Styela clava: one gene and its partners. The protein of the gene in region 1 interacts with the protein of each later gene in a pairwise test. Links are inferred from orthologs where the notes say so. Each region holds a gene or a part of one and is shown in the gene's direction. Other genes may lie near its edges.

What was found. The genes of interacting proteins can lie anywhere in the genome.
Region 2: the proteins of enhancer of filamentation 1-like (region 1) and paxillin-like interact in a two-hybrid assay, tested with the Drosophila melanogaster proteins (2 studies listed by BioGRID). The link is inferred for Styela clava from reciprocal best matches to the Drosophila melanogaster genes p130CAS and Pax.
Region 3: the proteins of enhancer of filamentation 1-like (region 1) and breast cancer anti-estrogen resistance protein 3 homolog interact in a two-hybrid assay, tested with the Drosophila melanogaster proteins (2 studies listed by BioGRID). The link is inferred for Styela clava from reciprocal best matches to the Drosophila melanogaster genes p130CAS and CG9098.

Annotation. Positions count from the first base shown.
Region 1 is NC_135250.1:27,720,956-27,728,186, reverse strand, and holds the start of enhancer of filamentation 1-like, read left to right. Parts: upstream 1-4,179; 5' UTR 4,180-4,273; coding exon 4,274-6,685; 3' UTR 6,686-7,231.
Region 2 is NC_135252.1:7,085,559-7,092,536, reverse strand, and holds the start of paxillin-like, read left to right. Parts: upstream 1-3,974; 5' UTR 3,975-4,256; coding exon 4,257-4,269; intron 4,270-6,978.
Region 3 is NC_135254.1:11,557,211-11,564,975, forward strand, and holds the start of breast cancer anti-estrogen resistance protein 3 homolog, read left to right. Parts: upstream 1-4,761; 5' UTR 4,762-4,906; coding exon 4,907-4,918; intron 4,919-5,026; coding exon 5,027-5,244; intron 5,245-6,661; coding exon 6,662-7,403; intron 7,404-7,765. Other genes in the region: centrosome-associated protein 350-like, read left to right, coding at 250-357, 765-953, 1,718-1,849, 2,322-2,453, 2,851-3,054.

The DNA of each region.
Region 1 (7,231 bases):
CTTACATTAATGTAAACGAGAGCGTCTTCGGAGCACCTCACATTATTGTAAAAGTTGCGCGGCCGTACTTATAATACGGTCTCTTCTAACGCACCGCTAACCACGCGCTTCGGTTTTGCACGCCCTTCAACGTTACGCCCTTATTATTATCGCATGTGTTCTCACTTTTTCACAACCTAATTCATTTTTGTTACAATTCAATGTTTCTCCCATTGCCAAAATTATTTTCGTGTTATTGTCGGCAGTCGCGAGAGAAATGAAAGTGGCAAACAAACTGTATTTCATTACAACAATTAATTATTATCGCTTAAAGCCTTAAAATACTAAATAGGTTTAAAGTTGTTATAAACAATTTTCACAGCTATACGTATCATTTCACGTTATGAATTTCGTGTGCAAGGCCCAAGCATAATTTGATGGCAAAGATCATATCATTTACTATGTCGAAACGCTTTTTCGACTTTACAGACCGCAAAAACTATCCGAAAAAGATAACCATTTTTGTGTTCGATATATGAAATAATTGTCCATTCCACCACGCTTTCGTGAAGTAGTGCAATTTACTACATTTATGAAGGTTTTATTAAGTTTCATTGCATCAGTGTTTGGATTACCTCGCGTTTCGCCAGATTACTGGCATGATTACAGATCACAAGGGTGGTCAAAATAGTATATTTTCATTGAATCGAATAATTTGTCGAAATCGAATAATTGTCGAAAATCGGGTTGAATTGGGGGTTTTATTCCGATTTTTAACTTCTGAGTCGCCTTTGATCTTTCTTGTCATCGTTTGTAAATTAACCTTCCCAATTTTAAGCTAAATATATTATCATTTCTGACGGCGGAATGCGGATATTTATGAAGACGATAGTTCACCTTTTTGATTTTACTTTTCTAAAGTGTGATTGCTTTATTTACGTATTAAATAAAGAATAAAAGCCCAGCAAAGTCATTGCGTGAATACTGAATGCTATTTTGAGTTCAAATTATGATTAAATAAGTCGGCAATAATGGCAATTCTACTAGTCAAATAATAATTTCTTTGTACAATTTGCGAAAAATTTCGCACAATAATTCCACTTCCACTCAAACTGTAAGCGTGAATGGTTATTTTTCAAAATAAGTATTAAATAAAATGGTATACCCAACCATTTGTGAGAATATCTATATGTGGATAACAAAATCTTATAATCCCGGGATTTTTTGGAAATGATTGCGGAATGCGGATTGAAAAAAACAGTCCAAATCCCGGGATTTCCCGTAGTCTCAACCATTGTACCTGCTTCGAAAAGTTCGCTGTGCGTAAATGTTGCTTCAACAGTCTTTTTATTATTATAAATCTAATACTTACTTAACTTATGTTAAGTTGCATGCACAGTACCACGGTCTATTTGTCGTTTGGGTTGAGTACCGGTACCGTACCTGCTAGTGGTGCACTCATACCGGTACTGCAGTATCGTCAGAGGACGGATATCGTGTCAAACTAGTCTATCGTGTACCTTAAAACACTGACATATTACAAAAAACCTACAGCATCTCTAGTACAGCATCTCTTGGATCATCTACCGCCCAACCACATGAGAATACACTGCAAAATCGCAGCATCCCCCCAAAAAGTGGTCCTGGCAGCAGTCGTCATGCCCTGATGAGTCGTATGAAAGTCGGTAATTGTCAACCGTGCCAAATAAGTAAATCATTCATTTCCACTTCTCCACAATTTTAATGTTGTATGCTAACACTGTTCAGTAGCTGAATTGTAGTATACTCTATATATAGTTTGAGTTTTTTTTTAATAAAAACATCACTTTTTCACACACGATAACACATAAATCCAATTGCACTTAAAAATATGAGTTTATGATAACTTGCCACCTCTTTAAGTGGTTCGACAATTTACATTTTCTAGTTGCAATAGTTTTTTCACAGTTATAAACACTTTTTATCATATATAAAAAGTTTGAAAGGTTGAAGCGCTAAGCAACATTTTTTTGGTTAGCAACAACACTTTACTAGAATGGTTCACAGATTGTGTGGACCAAACTTAGATTGCTGTCACCGAGGTTTACTGAGTAGTGCTACTTGGTTGAAAGTCTTTGTAGTAAAACCAAAATTGAACATGTTGTTAATCTTGAGTGCGATATTTATGCCATAGAAAAAATAACATCCTTGTAAATAAAAGTTACCGTACCCGTCACAAGATTTGACCTCTCTTTCCCAGAGTGAATTAAAGGTAGTCGCCGTTAGGCTTCGCTAAAGAGCAGTCTTAAAAGTCTGATTTTGTACGCTGATTTCAGTAACGCTGGCCGCCTGCTTTTCCTCCTACTTTCGTGCACTTTTTAGCAGTCTAGGACAGATTCACGCCTTTGGTGTGTTAGTCTGTTAGTAGACACCGGTAGCCTGAATATAAGTATGTACCGTAATGTAAATGCCGTAGAAAGTGAATTAGTTGTCTGTTTTACTGCACTAGTCTATCAGCCGATCGGTTCTTATACTTTTTCTTTATAGACTGCCAGTACGGTCTGACGGTACCGGTACCGGTCTGGTGGGCGGTGGCTGTCAATTTGGCTTTTCATCTTCTTCCTCCTAGCTGCCCAGAGAAAAAAGGAAGTAGTGGAAAGATTGTGAACAGTTTGATTATATAGTAAAGACTTCCTCCTCGTGAAAATGAATATTCCCTCCAAACCAGGGCTATTGAGTCGGAGATAATTTACGGTACGGTACAAGCTCAGCAGTATCAGGGTGTGGCGGATCATGCTACTGTCTGACTGTGCTAGGTGTCAGGAATACGCTCACCACCAGTACCGGTACGGTACCTTATGTGGCTGACGGCTAACTCGCCATGAGGGCTAACTCGCCATGGACCACTCGCCATGCGACGGCGGTTAACGGGTTAGCCTGCAACTGTGCGGAGGCTCTTCTTGTAATGGGAGATGGAAAGGTGGCTGTTTATACTAACAACTTCAATAGTAAGGATAAATATATTAAATTAAATGTGTTTGGTTACAATACCTACTGTGCAAATGGTAACAATGGTCAATTATAAAGAATAAAGACATGGCGAGTTAGCCCTCTCTCGAACTCGCGATGTCGATCGTCAATTATAAAGAATAAAGACATGGCGAGTTAGCCCTCTCTCTCTCTCTCTCGAAATGGCGATGTCGATGGTCAATTATAAAGAATAAAGACATGGCGAGTTAGCCCTCTCTCTCGAACTCGCGATGTCGATCGTCAATTATAAAGAATAAAGACATGGCGAGTTAGCTCTCTCTCTCTCTCTCGAAATGGCGATGTCGATGGTCAATTATAAAGAATAAAGACATGGCGAGTTAGCCCTCTCGAACTCGCGATGTCGATCGTCAATTATAAAGAATAAAGACATGGCGAGTTAGCCCTCTCTCTCTCTCGAACTCGCGATGTCGATCGTCAATTATAAAGAAAATAGACATGGCGAGTTAGCTCTCTCTCTCCCTCTCTGCTCGCAATCAACGGCTGTTAGAATAAAATGAGACTGCCGGTAGCAAAATAGAACTTTTGATATATTTAGCGTTGTTGGTTATTCAGAGCTCATACAATCAATTAATATGATGATATATTTAGCATGCTTAGATGAAAATGATAAGTTGAGACATCCTTTGCGCGTCGAGTACCGTACGGTACCGGTATGCCTTCCGACATATAAGCACGTTTTCTTGTCACTTTGTTACCATTTGCACAGTAGGTATTGTAACCAAACACATTTAATTTAATATATTTATCCTTACTATTGAAGTTGTTAGTATAAACAGCCACCTTTCCATCTCCCATTACAAGAAGAGCCTCCACACAGTTGCAGGCTAACCCGTTAACCGCCGTCGCATGGCGAGTGGTCCATGGCGAGTTAGCCCTCATGGCGAGTTAGCCTCCACCCCCTTATGTTACTGGTACGACACAAGTCATGTACCGGTACGGTATCTCCTGAGATGATTGTTTCTCCGTGATTGTTTTAGTAAACTAAATGCCGGGACATCTTGGAATCAGAGAACTGTGGCTTACTGTCTATGCTAAATTCTAGTTCAAAATTACGGATGGCAAACATATTTTAAACTGAACATAGACCAATAAAAACCGCTGTGTTTCATTGTCCTCTTCGTTACCGTATTTTTGACTCCTGTCTACAGGACTAAGAAAAAAATGTTTACACTTGATTCAAAACTTATTTTTTCTGTATAGTTTGGCTAAAATGTAAATTATATAGGTTTTAATATCCTATCCATTTTAAAATTTGAATTGCAAAATGACTGCTGGCAACATTCTTGCAAAAGCATTGTATGATAATTTGGCAGAGACAGAGGATGAACTTAATTTCCATCGCGGAGATATTGTTACAGTTATCGAGCAAAATACTGCAGGAATTGATGGATGGTGGCTTTGTTCTTTGAATGGCCGGAAAGGCATTGCACCGGGGAATCGCTTACGCTTGATGCCCTTAATGCAAGGTATTTCGCAACAAACTGTTTTGGAAAAACCTTTGATAAATGTGGAAGATGAAGAATACGATATCCCAACTCACCAGTATTATAATCAGAATAACAATAATAATGACCCTAATGATGTTTATGATGTCCCGGTTTCGAGGCATTTCGGGTCACGACCGGAACTCGATCTTGACCCTGATGAGGTATATGATGTCCCACCAGTTCATGCTACATTGCATACATCAAACATTCAATTGAGCAATGAAAATTTACTAACGTCTTCACCTCAACATCGGACGGTTACAATTGAACAAGAAGTCTATGATGTTCCTTCTAATCTAATCGCTCCTGCGAATATAAGCAACATAACCAGTGAGTATGATCCATCGGAAATTTATGATGTGCCACCAAATCGGTCTTTAGAGCCCGAGGAAGTATACGACGTACCCGTGTCTAATAAAATGTCAGGGCCTGAACCACTAGATGTCAGTGCAATGCTCGTACAACAAGAGGAAGACGAAGAAGAATATGATATTCCTCCGTCACGTCCGTTTGGCCAAGATACGGTCGATAGCGGTTTGATTCCAATGTATCAAGCTTCAACTCCTTCATCGAAAGTGGTTAGCTCCGATCGTCTTGATTCACCGGATTTAATTTACGATGTCCCATCATCTAATCGTTCAGCTGGTGATGTCACAGATGGGAGTTTGAATTTGAGCAGCGTTAGCACAAACTCAAAATTTCATCCTGGAAATCGTAGCTTGTTGAAACAAGAATCTGAAGACTATGTTTACGATGTGCCGCCACGAATCACACGAGAACCGTTATCAACTTCACAACAGACTGAAAACGAGTCACTAGATCTCGTCATCAAACGTCTATCTCTTGTCGGTTCAGCGGAATATAAAAATGATCGTAAATCAACTTCATCAAGTGATTCTCTTTCTAGTATTATTGCAGCGAACGCCAACTATACGGAGTTGAATCTGGAGTTATCATCAGCCATTGACCAACTTATAAAATTGAAACAGTCTCTGGAAGACAGTGTTTCGGTGCTGTTAACCCACGTCTATGAAGGCTGGAGGTTAAAAGAAAACATTTCTGGCAAAATTGGTGTGATAAAAGGAGTTTTCGAGGTCGTTCTATCAGCAGTTGGGCAATATGTTGAATTCGCAAGAGGAGCAATGGCTAATGCTAATGCAGCCCAGCAGCGAGGTCTATCTGTAACTTTACCCCGAGCTCTTATAACAGGGATGCATAAACTTTTGCAACCTCTGGAAGAAGATAATTTAATGTTACAGCAAGCGTTTACTGCATTAGATCAAGCATATTGGAGTCTTGGTAAAGTAGTATCAAATGATCCAGACTTCGGGGTCCCTGATGAGATTGATAGCTTCGTTATGACATCCCGTGCTGTGTCAGACGATGCTCGCCAGATAGCTGCGTTCATTCACACACACTCGCAATACCTTTTCAAGAAAGTGGAGACACGGCCTCCAACTGCTTTTGAGAATTACAAAGCACAACAGATTATTCAAACAAGGCCTTTACCAGATCTACCTCCCCAAAAGCTACGGTCTCCCACTACTATTATCACAAGACCAGATGAAGACTCCTGGCTTGAGGATTATGATTATGTTGCATTGGACGACCAGGGTCAAGCCATACAAGATGGTACATTCAATAACAGCAATTCAAGCGTGATCAACGAGGTTTCAATAAAGGTGAAAACGCGACATATCGAAGTGTTACAAGTTTTGGAAATGAGTAATAAACAACATGGCGTCCCCAAGATTATCAACGGTAAAACAAACGAGAATAACTCAATAACTAATGACCAATTTACTCTCCAAGACATGGTTGAAGATTTACCAATTCTTGTTGAAAGCCTTGTATCAGCAATAAAAGGATTTTACTCGTGTTTGGATAATAACGACCCGCCGAAAACATTTGTCGCACTTAGCAAGCAAGTTATTCTTTGCGCCCACGAACTTGTCTTTTTTGGAGATACTTTATATCGACGGTTACACCATCAACAAATGCAAGATATAGTTAAAGGACATTGCACAGAAATATGTACTTCATTAAAACGAACTGTTGCGGCAACTAAAAATGCAGCCCAGCAATGGCCTTCTGTAAATGCAGTGCAGGAAATGATTGACAGAGTCACAGACATTTCTGCATCAGCACATCAATTTAGAATTTTACTCAGTCAGTGTTCTGTAAGGTGAGCAAAAATCATTGTGGCAATTAAAACTTTTTATGTATAAATCAGTGCTGTGGACTCGCGATTGTAAAATCTTGACTCCAACTTCGGCTCAAAAAATCAAATTTTGATATCAAACTATCGCATATGCAAGGTACTTCAATTACCGTAATAGACTTGCATTGAGACATCTTAGTAAACTTGATGCTTTCTAAATATCCAACTCCGGGAAATTTCGACTTGTCATTTAATTTGAATGTATAACCCCGACTTCACAGCTGTCATGTGAGTACGTTTCCCTTGGTAGCATACCTATACTTGACTTACCGTAAATCAAGGTCAAATATGTGCCATTCTCAAAACCGTTGCGCAACAAGTCTAGCACCTATCACTTGTCTTATTTTTATGGAACATGTGGTGCTAATTTAAAACCTTCATTTCAGTTTTATATTTTTTATTTCAAACATAATTGAATGATTTATCAAGAATATTTTTGTCAATTTACATTCGGTGCATGGTTTTTTTCTGTCGTGTCTATATTCTCCCTAGTTGAGGAAAGCAATGAAATAAC
Region 2 (6,978 bases), on another chromosome or scaffold:
TCCACCGTGTGTTTGTCTCTTAAATTTTGGTTACGGCAATTGTACTCAGGTACTTGGGCTACTTTGTGCTATTTTGTACGCCACACCGCCGAACCCCCTGTTACTAATATAACACTCTCTGAGTGGCATTCCCTTTCAAACTATTTTGAAACCATGAAAAGTACCGAGTCATAGAGCGAGCTGTAATCAGATAAATTCATTGCAATATCGTTATTCAATTCCTCCTCTTCAAATGATTTCCATCTATTATAGGCCTCCAGAATTACAGATACATTATATGATTGTATGATAGTTTATTATATCATGGTTTTCATACTTAGTTACATTCTTTATGGATACCGAATTATCAGGAGGGTGAGTCACATGTCAAAGTCATCATCATATCGATCTTCAATTCTTTCTCTCTTAAATTATTTTCATATATATATATATATAAATATATATAAATGTTATCATCTTTTAATTACTTAAACTATTTTCATATATATATAAATGTTATCATCTTTTACTTACTTTATTGGCCGTAATTTTCAACAACGTTTTTGTCCAGGACTTTAATCATGCCCGATCCTTACATTACGCACTGTGATATTCGTCAAGAAGACAGTTCCACCAATTCCGCGAGAAATAATGTACCGTTTCAAGACTATTGTCGGAGAGATCGTCAAAGCCAACTGTATCCTTGTACTGAAAATATCACATAACTGGTACTGTATCAATAGGCGTAGTCAGTGCGGGGGCCTGTGGGGCCATACCACCGCCACTCCCCAAAAAATCAACAATTTTGTTCAAACAGAATTTCGCGGCATTTGCAGTGAGATATAAATTCATAGCCCTCCTTTCCAACGCCATTTTGCTCTATTCCTAAACGATTTACTGAAACCGGACATTTCCTGGTTTGATAACAATAATCCTTTCACCAAATGAACCAAACACCAAGATAGATAAATATGCGCGCCTATATGTATTTGACAGCAAAGTACGTCAGTAGAGCAATTCTCGAAACGATCCTTACACATTCAGACGACACATTATTGTCACTTATAAAACTTTCAATTTCCCTGTGATCTTATCCCTTATATTTTATCGTGTGTAAGCACAAAAGAAGATTCAGAATATATTGAAAGTGTAAATTAATATACTAAATAATAATATATTTGGTATGGAATTCTTATTTTTTGCTCTTCTCTATTTAAAATTTATTTAAATAACTTCCTAGTCCCGATTAGATATTTATCTCATATCTAATCAGATATCATTTTTTTACATAGTGTATGTATATATTTTTTCCATATGTATATCTTGAGAGTGTAATATTACGGGATCTACATATTTATCCCGAGGGAGAGGAAAGCCGATAAGACGTCTTAATCATATGGCGAACCACGGCCTCTCGTCCGGTTACCAGGTCGGTATGGGATTAGTTAGCCAGTTATTTGTTTTCGGAAGCATGGACTTGTGTTATTAATTTATTTATTCATGTGCTTGCTTTAGCTGGTAACCGACTCAGATGACTGTTAATGGTCGTATCGTCACCACCAAGTCATCTACCGAAACCTAATTTTTCTCATTTTGCTATCATATATAACAGTGGCGGCGCGTGGTCATTTTGACAACCAGGGCAAGCTACTGCGGGACCAAGTCACCCCCATCTACGGGGACAAGATGAGCGCTGTAAGTTCGCCCATCATTTTATGAGTATAAAAACCATTCCATCGGTAACAACCAATCGGCAAAAGCGACAATTTTTAACGATAAGAAAGTGTCTTTAAAACCGGTCAAAGTCAAGGGATTAAAAAATATAGACATAGTTTATTTTGAAACCTCTTTCAAAAGGAAAGGCAATGTTTACCCAGATAAATACAATGACATATTAACAGAAACTTCGCGAAAGCAGACAAAACCTAAAATAAGGTTCAAAACGTTACTATGAAGAAAGGAAAGTTAATGCAAAGATAAGGACATGCGTCGCTCACTCATAGATATATATGCTGCTAGACTTCTACTGCTTGAACATATATGCAACACGCCGCGGTTTCTTGGAAGCAAAATGCTCAATAACGCGCTGATTAAAGTCATGCAGAAATAACGTCTCTGTGAATGGATAAAACAGCCAAGGAATTTAATCTATCTTGCTTCATTGTGTTTCTGAGATACGTTTTAATATGCTTCAGCGTGCTGAATGTTCGCTCTGCGTCGGCGGAAGAAATAGGCGTCGTCAAAATGATGTCCAAAAATTTTGCAGACGCCGCAAAGGTAGTTACTAGAGTGTTATCTATGAGGAACCCATAGAGCGCGCAAGTTGATGTGATGTTCAAAAAAGTTTGATTGGTGTATATACATCGCAATTCATTTTCCAATTTACCCACGTTTATCATGGGGTAAAATTTGGAGACAGTAGCCAACAAATGGATGGGAAATTGACGTGCAAATTTTGAAAAATTTTTGGGGTTCATCAAAGAGAACGCGGCAAGGTGTTCAGTGCGCAGACGATCGCCTATTTGATTCACCAGAATGTCACAGCATTCCTTTGCAGACAAAATCAAACGCTGCGTTGTTTGCCCGCGGCGTAAAGAAGCACTCCATGTGTCGTCGTATTTTATTGTTTCCCGGATACGAGATACAGCATCGCAGAAGTCTGAAATACACGACTGCACAGACGCTCCATCCATTAGCCTTTACTGCAATGCGCCGTATAATACATCCACGTGATAGAATATTGTGGAGAAAAAAGCGAGAAAAAATGAAAACTCACCATCTTCTAGCAGAAGCTTTACCCCTGCCGCCTCAATGCGTGAATATGTCAACACGTTGTTGTAAGAAACGTCGGCATTGTGTCGTCATAATTTCGGGGCTAGCCCCGATCGGCCCCGATGATTTAGTAAAAGAAACAGAAAACAAACGAGACAAACGCGGCGAGTGGAAGATAAGAGAGAATAATGAGCAACCGGGGCAAAATCGGCGTCGCCCCGTCGACGTTCGGCGAAGGCTTTGCGAGCGAAAAATGAACCATGTCGGGAGAATATGGCTAGTGTAGACTGTAGACAGTCTGTGCAACCAATATTGAGGTATTTTTCGAATATTTTTTATTATACCGAAAAAACAACCGGGGCATTGCCCCGGTTGGCCATATTGACGCGCCGCCACTGATATATATATATATTGTATGTGTTTTCTGGTTTGAAGAAACAATAAATTCTCTCTCTCTCTCCTAGGTACATTTCGATTCATCCGGGATCGTGATTTGTGTCATCACGTGGAGACGCTATAGAGCATATTGCAAAATTGTGTCTACTCTAGTAGTCGATGACAGCGGTGAATGTCAAATTCTTTATTACTAAGAGTTCGTATTTTCGGTTCTACGGCAAGTTTACATAATTACATTAATTGTGATAACAGGAAAGGTAGATAGTTTTGAACTAATTTGAAATCATGTATTTCGATAACCAAAAATATCATATTCATGAATCCAAATTGGCAATGGATTTTAATTTGGCCACCCCCCCAAAAAAAGTAGATAGATAAGTTGTTGTGTTTCACTTTTTTGTATAACTGCATCTGCATATCTATGTTTTATATTACTGTATGAATTAAAGAAAAGCGTACATACTGTACTGAAATATGAATGTAGGGTAACTTGACCGTTAGTTCTAATGCTACCATAAATTAATTCATATTTTTATATCTGACACAATTCTGAATGTTTTTCAATTATCAAATTATGAAATTGAAGTGCTACTCGATCGATTCTCACAAACTACAATTTTTTTAGGATATGTAACCTTATTAGTCAGTCCAGCATATACGGTAGTTACTGCATTGTCATACAGTCATAATATGAACTATCCGTGTCCTGTTCCTGAGCTATTCCTGTACCGGTACTGCGGAACTCATTCTTTTAACACAGTGACGTATTGACGGTACCAGTTCGCTAACGCTGTTCGTTTATCTAATAGTTTGTGTCCTATTTTCAGAATTTGAAAGCCATAGTCTGAGAGTGCTCACATAAACACAGTAACAACTTATTTCAGTACGGTATTTTATCATCAAGCAACATTCGAATATAGCGACAGATGAAAACGGGAACAGAAAATCTGTTTGAATCGTCTGCTTTCCTGTTTTTGGGGTAACAGCACTGCAATAACTTTGACTAGAGGAGCTGAGGATTGATTTGAACTAGCTCTTTGAATAAGTTTTTTGTTATTCAAAAATCTGTTTCACATTTGTGAAAAATTATACCATTTAAAAGTTGGGAGATGGAGGATTTAGGTAAGTGAAATTCATACATTCAATTTGCACTGGTCATACTTTTTGTCTTCTGCAATCTATGCTCGTGAGGACATAACAACTGAACAAGGGTGCACTGTTACATATTACACTGCTGTAGTCTGACAATGTATTACACTTTCTATTTATTATTTTTATATATATTTTGTGTGAGTGGTATACTCGGATAATTCTGTAGCAATTTGAATATTTATTCCTTTTATTTATTTATTAGTTTTACATTCACAGTAGTTAAAAAAACTAAAGTTGAGATTTATCAAGTTCGACCATAGCAAAGGTAAAAAACTAACATTTTTAATACTGCTCGAAACACAAAGACCATATGTCACAAAGTTAATATTATCAAACATACTTGGATTAAGTTGAGTAAACATTACCGCTATCATAATTATTAATTGCTTTCGGTATGTGGGTTATTACTTGTCAAATTATTAATTTATCAAAAAGGAAGTTATCAATTTTGTAGCTTCCTGCTTCTCTTGGTCAAGTAAACAGATTGAAAGGGACTTTTTGGTATGTCCTAGCACAGGGGTGCGGACCTATTTTAATGAATGGCTCAAAAATAGATTTTTATTATGCAACAGAAGACTGCGGTCATATATACTTAATCAATGTCTGTGTCAATCAGCTTTTGCATCTTTGACACAAGTCTTAAAAATCCTTGGTTGGTATTGTGTAGTTTTGAGCTTTACGAGTGTAGCACTTATATTAGAATTGAGGCGATTTTATGCAATTCGTGTTCGAAAGCACCAGTATGAATTACCAGAAAATGTTTTAGTTGTTAGTTCAAGTCTATAAGGCATAGTTTCCTAAACGTCATTGTGTACTAATAAAGAATAGACTGCATAGTGGCGTCTGCTCTTGTTGCCCACCCATACTCTTATATATATGTTTAAATGAAGATAACAAGATAATTAATTAGGTGGTTAATTAGGTACCAGTAACTTATAATTTAGATTTGTATTTATTCCTAAAACTTGTTTTGAATAGTTAACCTCATGTGTTTTGAAACTGATTCATTATGTACCGAGTACTGCAGAGAAAGTTGAGTCTTGATTCGAATATCATTTTCAATTATTATTGTCAACTTATTATATTCAAAGAGTCTTGTTGTTTTGAACAATATTTCACAAAAATTATATTCTCTTCTTGTCTGCTATCACTTGTGTGTGAGAAATAAGCAGTGATCAAACTGATTGCTTTTATAAACTATGAAGGAAAGTTTGACCTGTTTGACGGTGAACCTGTCAAGTCAATAATTATTGTAAAAAACATACTGAAATGCAAGTGATGAACATTTATAATAAAACTGGCCTTCATTCAATCTAACAATAAGTGAACTACTATAAATGTAGTTTACCTACAGTGGTGCAGCCAGGGCTGCGATTATAGGATGGAACCCACATCTCGGTATTAACCAGTCCCAAATTTGGAACTTTGTAACGACGAGCTACGTGTTACGCTCATTTACGAATGATAACAATATCATGCACATTGAACACTAAAAATAAAACAGAAGAGGATCATAAATTTTGTTTTAGGAGTTTTGAGAAAGTGAAAAAAGTTGTTTTAAGCACGCTAGTTTAGATACTATAAATCGCAAAGATTTTATGTACTGCACAGGAAATAAGAAACACTTACACCACGTGCAATGTGCATTTTCATATATTGTCGGTTTCATATTACCCTATTAAAATTACCACCACCAATTTATTCCAGAATAATCCAGATCCTGACAAAATGGGAACTATTTATTGGAAGATTTATTCAATCACTTTTCTATTTTACTTAAATGAATTGTATTCCTTGATTAAGATTCTAGTTGAGGTAAAAAGCTTTATTATTTAACGTAGTCGTTGTTTAGGTTGAATGCAAATGTTATAGAATTTCATTTTATGGGTTATTCCTTATTTACGGCTGTGGATCATATATTTTCCAAAGCAAAAAGGATCAATATCAGCTGAAAACGTTACCTTTTTTTACTATTGTTGTAATTGCTGTGATTGTCTCAAAATTCGCTGCAAGGGAATTACCACAACTTGGTATTGTTATTTTTAAAACCCCCATTTCGAATGGCCAGTCTGCACCCCTGTGTACTGTTTTTTTGGGAGACTACCCCCATTATCAATAATAAATACTAAACTCTCAATTCTCTCAATGGATAGATAGTATTAGATACTTCCTATTTTCATCCTTCCCTTATAGTCTTTTGAATACCCCTTTTTCTAACGTAAATTACTAGTATTGTCCAATTCATAAACTAGTGAATGAAAAATAAATAAAATGAAAAATCTTTTTTAAAAAGGGAATCTAAATATGAATTCCACTTATTTACGTAGTTGGCCCAAGTTTTTTTGAAATTATCCATAATTCTGAATATGAATACGAGTCTCGACCCACTACATATCATCTCCTGTTATTCGGAAGGACCTATTAATTACCAACAAAAATTTGTTATTGATTGATAATTGATATGAAATTTGATATTTCTCTAATTAACTAAGATCCTGTCGCGGACCCGGCAAAATACATGTAGGCTATATATAGCCTATAGTTACATTTTTAATAAAACCAGGGCAATCGAAAGTTCACATCTTTGGTTAAAACCGCTGTGTCTACCCATGCGACAGCCAAGTTATTTTGCAAAACAATATTGATATGACCGCAATATAACTCAGAACGTATGGGATT
Region 3 (7,765 bases), on another chromosome or scaffold:
CCATTATATCTGTGAAAGTTAACTTGTAATTAATTTGCTGATTATTAACACTGCTATATACTGACAACAACATTTAGAAATGCACTTGTTGTAGCGCAGGTTCTAATCGCATGGGAGATAACTTTTTATGTCTTTCTCTCTCAAAAAGACTCTGGATAAGTGTCCATGGTATCTAACGATATGTAAAGAGCTTTTTTTTTAAAACTTTCTGGACTTCTGCTTGTTTACTATTTTGAAATTGTCTTACAGGATGGTCGTCTTATTGAAGTATTGTCTGGACGGACAGAACCTGTTCCACCTCCAAAATTTGTTGTTCCTCATAAACCTGAAGTTATACTAAAACTTGTGAAAGAAGCAGTAAGTAGTGTCATGTCTTCTATCGACTAATTATCAGTTTTTAAATATAATCAGTGTAAAATCTTATTTATTTTGATGAAGATTTCTATGCTCAACCTAATATTCCATAACTGCGGTTAAAGACTATTTAGTGTTCATTTGCAAAGAAAACCTATGAGTCCCACTTCACATACCTCCCTTAACTTTCTGTCTGAAATTTAGACTCGGATTATTACCATTAGAAGAATAAAATCTAGACCGGACAGAATTAAAAAAAATTCCTTCAGTTTGATAATACAGCTTTGAGTACAATATCAATAAAAACTTGTCAAACTAGGATACCACAGCCCTGCAGACAAATCCTGCATTCTTGACTGGTTATGTCTTTACCGTGTTTTTAGAGTAAAGAAAATAACTCTTATTTTCAGACAAACTACTATTATTCCAAGTTTCTTGGAGGAGAATTGCTAACAGACACTCAAATTCCTGATTTCCTTTTCAACGTTTCATCCGATGATTCTTCCAAAGATGAAAATTCCGATAAAGAAATTGATGAGGAAAAGAAAGAAGCCGATCTAAACGCAGATCACATATTCAAGACAAGTCTCTTCGACATGGTAATTTTGGTTACTGCTGGCTTTCGTGAGAATGCGATTGGCCCAGTCACAGTATTCGTAGACACTATACCAGTAGATATTTTCAGGGTGGACTGTTTCAAAATTTTGTGAAGTAGTTTTACTGGAGTGAAATTCAGGTAGGTAAAACAGTATGGGAAAAATACACCCGACATTCCTGAGTTGATAAAAATTATTTGACTTCCTCTCTTGAATTCTAATTTAAATAAATTCTGACTTTGACTCCCGCTGCAAGTCTTCTTTAATTGCCCTTCGAAAACGCTCAGTCAGGTTACTGCTTTTTGAAATTTTAACTTCTGGCTCAAGAAATTTTGAAATTGCAACTCATTTAGTATGACAAGTAGGGCTGTCCAAAATCGAATACTTTTTTGATTCGAATCGAATATTTTTGCCGAATCGAACCGAATAATCGAATACTATTGCGCAATATTAAATCTGTCTCTATTATACAATAAATGTCTGCCCTTCGATGTTGTGGTAACGTATGTGCAGTTACATCTTACTTACTGCTGGTATTTTGCAATACAATGTTTTCAGATTTATGAAAGGAGATCTGTATATATATGCCTTTTGAAATTCTCAAATTACTTATATTATGCGAGTCTTGTTAATGAAATGGGTTTTTACATATTCGTACCAAGGTTTACTGGGAAATAACATTAAGGTTATGATTGCTTGACAAACTCTGTCTCTTAGATTGCAATTCTTTAAAAGACTGATAATATACTCTATCCATCCTATTGTAGGTTCGAGAATTGATCACCGAAATATATAACATCAAATCTTCAACTGAGGAAAACTTGAAACGACCATTATGGCTTAAAAAGAAGACAGTATGTCGGCCATCATATTGCAGAAGGATGCCAGAAACTGAGGATGTAAATATAAGTCTATTAACAATTTTTCTGTCCTGTGAAAATTTCATGTATTATGAGTTTATACCTCGTGATTGTGTAAAATTGATCACATATTACAAAACTTCGCTTGCTGTCTTAATTACAGCAAAAATCTGCTAACTTTCTGAAAGTTACTTTCTTTATAATTCAATGGCTGTTAACCTGTTTAGCACTTTCTACTATTTTAGCAAAGTTTCTTACGGCTGTCTTTGTTCATTGTCAACTGGCTGTTCAATGTTTGGCGAAATAGTAGATAATTCACAACGAATATCCGATTGGAAGTCAAATTAGATTAGTGTATTCGCCATCATTTTTTATGGCTTTTGCTTCAGATCCCCCCCCCCCAAAAAAAAAATTAAAACGAAAAAATTACCCCCAGGTTAGGCAATGCTGGTATAGTTTTTGATTGTCATAGTGATCCTCTCTATTCTTATTGCCGATTATTTTATTCTAGGAGATTGTGAAGATTGTCAGCAAGCAGGTTTCCAAACTGTTAAATTTGAGCAATGATCCTCAGAAACTCGATCCAAAGATAACAATGAAGTGGGGCAGTCGAAGAAAGAAGGATAAAGTCGATCTCATCTTGGTAATATGGATAATTGTTTGGTTGAAGGCTTCATCTTTTTCTCTTCCTCTTACCCTGAAATGACCTCTGCTTCAGGATCAAATGACACATAATGGCTGCTTAATAATAACAGGGATTACTGAAACGTATTAATTTGAACTACCGTAATATTTTCAAATATGGAAATTTCAAATATACTTTTCAAGTTGGCCAAGTTTGACAAAGAATTCTTAAAAGTCTATTTATTAGGTTATTTAGAATCTAGATAATTTACAATATTTAATTTGACTTTTGTACATTTGTGCTCTGAAGAACCAACTGACTCGTTGTTGACTTCACAATATGGTATTCAATTGACTCTCAAGTTGGTTCTGACCCTAATTTAACGTTTTTCATATTAGTTTTTATTGATTTTCAGATTCAAGAACTCAGGGAGGAAGAACCTGAATGGACGAATTATGATGAAGACGAAACAACAGTAAAAATGCAGTTGACTGATACTGTTTTAGACATGTTGGTTTCAGACACTGTACATTGTCTGAATAACATCCAACAAAAAGTAACAGATAGGAAAACTAAAGATGAACATAACGACCATGATCCAGAAGAACGCAGCCTGTGAATTTTTCAATTGGAATATTACAGTGTCAAAAATAACTTTATGATAATGCGTAGGACCCGTAGCATGCGTTTATACTACATTAAAACTGATTCTGATCAGAAACGCAAAAAAAGGTCACAAATACATTCAGGTATAAAAATGCGAAACTGTACAATTAAACTTGAATGCACGTTCTTATGAATTCCTTCAACACAAGGTTGGTCCAAAAATATCTAGCTTAACCTTTGACCCATACTATGATGAACAAATATGTTTAGCGTGGCTATCTCAGTAAAACCCATTCTAGAGTTCTTCATCCAATTTTCACTGTGAGAGAGATCATTTTGTATAAATAGCTCATCTGTATCATTTGTAACGATTGTTACAAAGATCACGTTTTTATCTTTTCATAAAGGCTTTGGCTTCATAGTTAGAAGATTTTTTTGTATGCCTAGATTTGAGAAATATGTTATTGAAACTATTATTTGGTTCATTGCTTTATTATCGCTTAAACATTTTATACAGTGCCTGTATGTGTCAAAATTTGTATGAATTTTAATATAGTTTTGTACAACTGTTACAAGGTTTGTTACTGAAAATGATTTTAAACTTCAATGGAAGCTGCGTTGGGAAAATAGTTTGTTGCAAAATTAGAATGCTGGGTACGGCACACCAAAAAAAGTGCTAGATTTGCGTAGTACTACGTCTGCGCAGTGCGAATTTCATGTTTAACAAGGATATCCTTAGTCATATGTTATGCAGTTGGTGAAGTTATGCCGGACAACTTTGTATATATTGATTGTTTCAGTCTCTGGGAACTAGCGCAAGCATAGGATATGGCGACATTCCAGACAGCGCGGTAATTTTATATAGTATTGCATTACAATGTGTCAGGTCTTCTCACCTTGATGATCACCAGATACTGTATGTATGAGTTTTTGACTACATAATCAGCATAACAGGCATTAAATTGATTGATGGAAACAAGTAAAATCTGTAAGTGAGTTAGAATAGCAAACAAAAACTTAAATAGGGTTTAGAACGTACAGAATATAAGATGGAAGATTTTTCCATACGTGTTGACTTACCTAAAGGTATTTCACACACGCACATTCAGCCATACAGAAATTATTAAGTAAAAACGCCATGAACTTAAAACAAATTGCACGGTAATCAAAAATATTGAAAATGAAAAATTACCTACCACAACCTATTAATCAATTTGTAATGGTCGCCAGTGCCGAATTGATCGATTTTCTAAACATGAGTGAACAGTAAGGAAAGTTTATATTTTAATCGTTTCCTAACCATTACTGGCAAAATCTGATTTTCTGGTGGTCAACTAGTTTGGTAGTGTTGTATTCATAGAGCAGCAAGTCTCACAGTCCAAAAATTCTAACCCCCTGGATCAGAAATAATATGTGAAAGTTACGACATTTTTGATTAACTTAATTGTTCCGCTGATAATTTCCAACAATTTTGGTATCTTTACAAGGTACACTTAATTTCTTCGCAATTATATTTCCAAGTCAATGCATATGAAACAAATAACTGGGCCATTCCCTGTCAGAGACATGTAACCGGAAGAGTGGCTATGGTTCGCCATATTAGTAATTCATATTGTCGTCTTCTCCACCAAGCCGGGATAAATATGAAAATATCATTACATGTTAGGTCATTTCAATTTTATTAATTTCTACTATTTTTGTTTTAAAATACCGAAAAATCAAAACAAAAGGATATACGGTAGAAGTCGGATATGCCCACCCTTTTACCTTGACTCCGTGACCGCAACTTGTACGCTGTTGCTGTAACCTTTGCGCAAAAGTTTTTTGATTGCTGAGAGCCGCAGCCGACTTGAAGGAGCAGAACTATGTATGAAGAGGTGAGTATGTAGACTGCAGATAAAACCCTAGTATCTTTACAGTATCTAGGTAAGGTGCATGTGGAGTTGCCGGTACCTTACCGACTGGTGTTGAAATGTTTTTTTCAGTTGGTTCTTAACGCAATCTTGGATGAGGATGTTTCGCCACAAATTTTACTTGAAAAACTCAATAATGAACTTCGATCTGGAAGCGCAGATATTCGTAGTTATGCTTGGTTTCATGGTAAAGTTCCTCGAAACGTTGCTGAAGATTTAGTCATGAAAGATGGAGATTTTCTTGTTCGTGAATCAATAACTAGTGTCGGAGATTATGTTCTCTCGTCCAAGTGAGTCCAATTTACTTTATCATAAATAGGGAAAATTGCTGTCTAACGTTTGCTATTAGACACAAAATGTCAAACATTATTTTTCAAACATCATAATTATATAAAAAATTAAAATGGACCAAGTATGGTAGGCTATTCGTGTCGCTTGGTCTGGAAATTTTATCAAAATTTAAATTTATTATTCTACATAAATAGTAATTAATAGGAAGCAAATAGGTATGGAACATAGGTATGTGATTTAATATTGATCTATTTAAACGACATACAGCATACATGTAACGCTTTACAATAAATATGGGTAATGTATTAAACAAGTTGCTAGACAAATAAATGAAGGCATCATAAGTCAACCAGATTATTGAAATTACAATTTTTCGGAAACTCAGATAGTCAAATGATTTCCAAATTAATATTTTTATAATGATAATGCCTAAAGATGCATCTGTACCAAATGTGTTGAAGCAAAAAATATATACATTTTGGATCACTGCCTATAACCCGCCTATTACCGTATTTACTACAGGAATATTAATTGTTTGTTTGCCAAATTCCTAGCATGATGTTAGTGATTGACCTGAAATGTTTACATAGGATTTCACACTTGGGTGTAACTTGGTACTGGGATTAGAGAGTTTTCAATTTGGAAATATTATAGGAATTCGGAAACATCTCACTTTTGGGAGTGGAACTTAGTTCCAGAATAGCTGGATGAAAAATTTTGCAAACTGCTGATAAATTTAAAATAAAATAAAGAAAAAACTTGTTTTTCTTTTCAATAATGAAGCTCACAAATAGGTTTATATCAACTTGTGTGTGTGTGACTTGCATGATGATTCGAAAAATGCCTTCGTTTTCCACAAAGTTCATTTGAAGAAGAATGATTAGTTCTTATCATTATCATCTTATCTCTTCTGCAACCATTTGCTGTGATAGGTGCTTAGGGCATGTTACGATTTGTAGGGTCCGCTTATATGCGAATTTTTATAAATTCATCGTTTTAGGGCCATTATCAGGGGCTCTATGCGAGATCGGTCGGCTCATATGCGAGATATGCTTATATGTGAGGATGTGCGGTAAATTGATATAACTAAAATATTACAACATATGTTTTGATGAAATACTAGTTCCTACAAAATGCCTGAACGAAGCCAAAAATAGGAAAATAGCCCGTTAGAGACCTCTTTATTCTCATCTTTATTTAAGAGCTGATAAATTGAATAATTCGTTAGTTAAATAAATTTTAAAATGCTGCAAATTGATTGGTAATTTTTAGTTAAAAATTGCTCTTATAATAGCTACCACCTTTATCATGAGTGATAATTTGATAGAAATATCAGATATTATATTTTATGCAAATCTACAATCAGTTGGAAGAAATATTTGGCCCCATAAAGTAATCTCATTTCTTACTTTTCAGGTACAAAAGTGCATACTACCATTTCAAAATCAATAAGATTACTGTTCAACATACAACAACATATTCAACTACTCAGTATTGCTTAGAACAGCATTCATTCGAATCACTTCCAGCTCTTGTGCATTATTATGTGGAACAGAAACTACCAGTTTCCAAAAGAACAGGCGTCATATTGGGACAACCAGTGAATAGATCAGTGCCTGTCTCATACTCTGATGTAAAATATGCTTCACTGCGTCGCCAACCTAAAGGAAATGCAACACAAGTTGTTTCAACTACGAGATCACCTGATGGTATAATGAATGCAGCTCAGCAGCCGACTCCTGCTGTAAGAAGTCCTGTATCACAGATTCCACCCCATCAAAGAAAAACAAGTGACCCATTACCAAATCTACCAGATCGTGGAGTTATCAATTATAACGGACAAACTTCTCCGAATTCAAATTATCCTATGTCTCCTGGATATAGTAATACTTCTAGCCCATTTCCTTTAAATATTTTTGATAACAAGGAGAATGTTACATCTCCAATACAAAGGCAAAAGGATAATGAGGCACAGATCTGTGTTGTGAATCCAGTCACAAATCGACCAACGAGTCAGGTGGATTTGAGCATCAAGAATCATGGACAGAATGTCCCGAGATCAGGATCTGATCCAATGCTCAGTCCTTCAAATCTTAAAAGTCGTGCACTTCCTGGTTCTCATAATATGAATAACAACAACTCTAAATTCAATTTTCAGGTATTTTTTTTTACATCAACCCGAGATTTCAACTTGTACTGCCATTAATTTTTAGTAGTCTAATGCTTTAAAACCAATGGGCCAACACTAATGAATTTAAATTTTTTTTTTTATCAATACTCCAAGAAGGTAAAAAAGTTTAAAGTTAATAAAGAATGTCAATGTATTAGTAACTTGTTATTCTCTTTGTTTCTTATATCTGGTCATAATAGTTTAATACGTTTGAATTAAATTTGAATTAATAATAAATCATTCTGTAGTAAAATTCTTTTTATCGGGTCATATGTTGAAAATTTTTCGAGTCTGTCAGAAATTATTTATTCATTTCTGCTATATCTCTGGATGTCTTTCTCTGACTAATT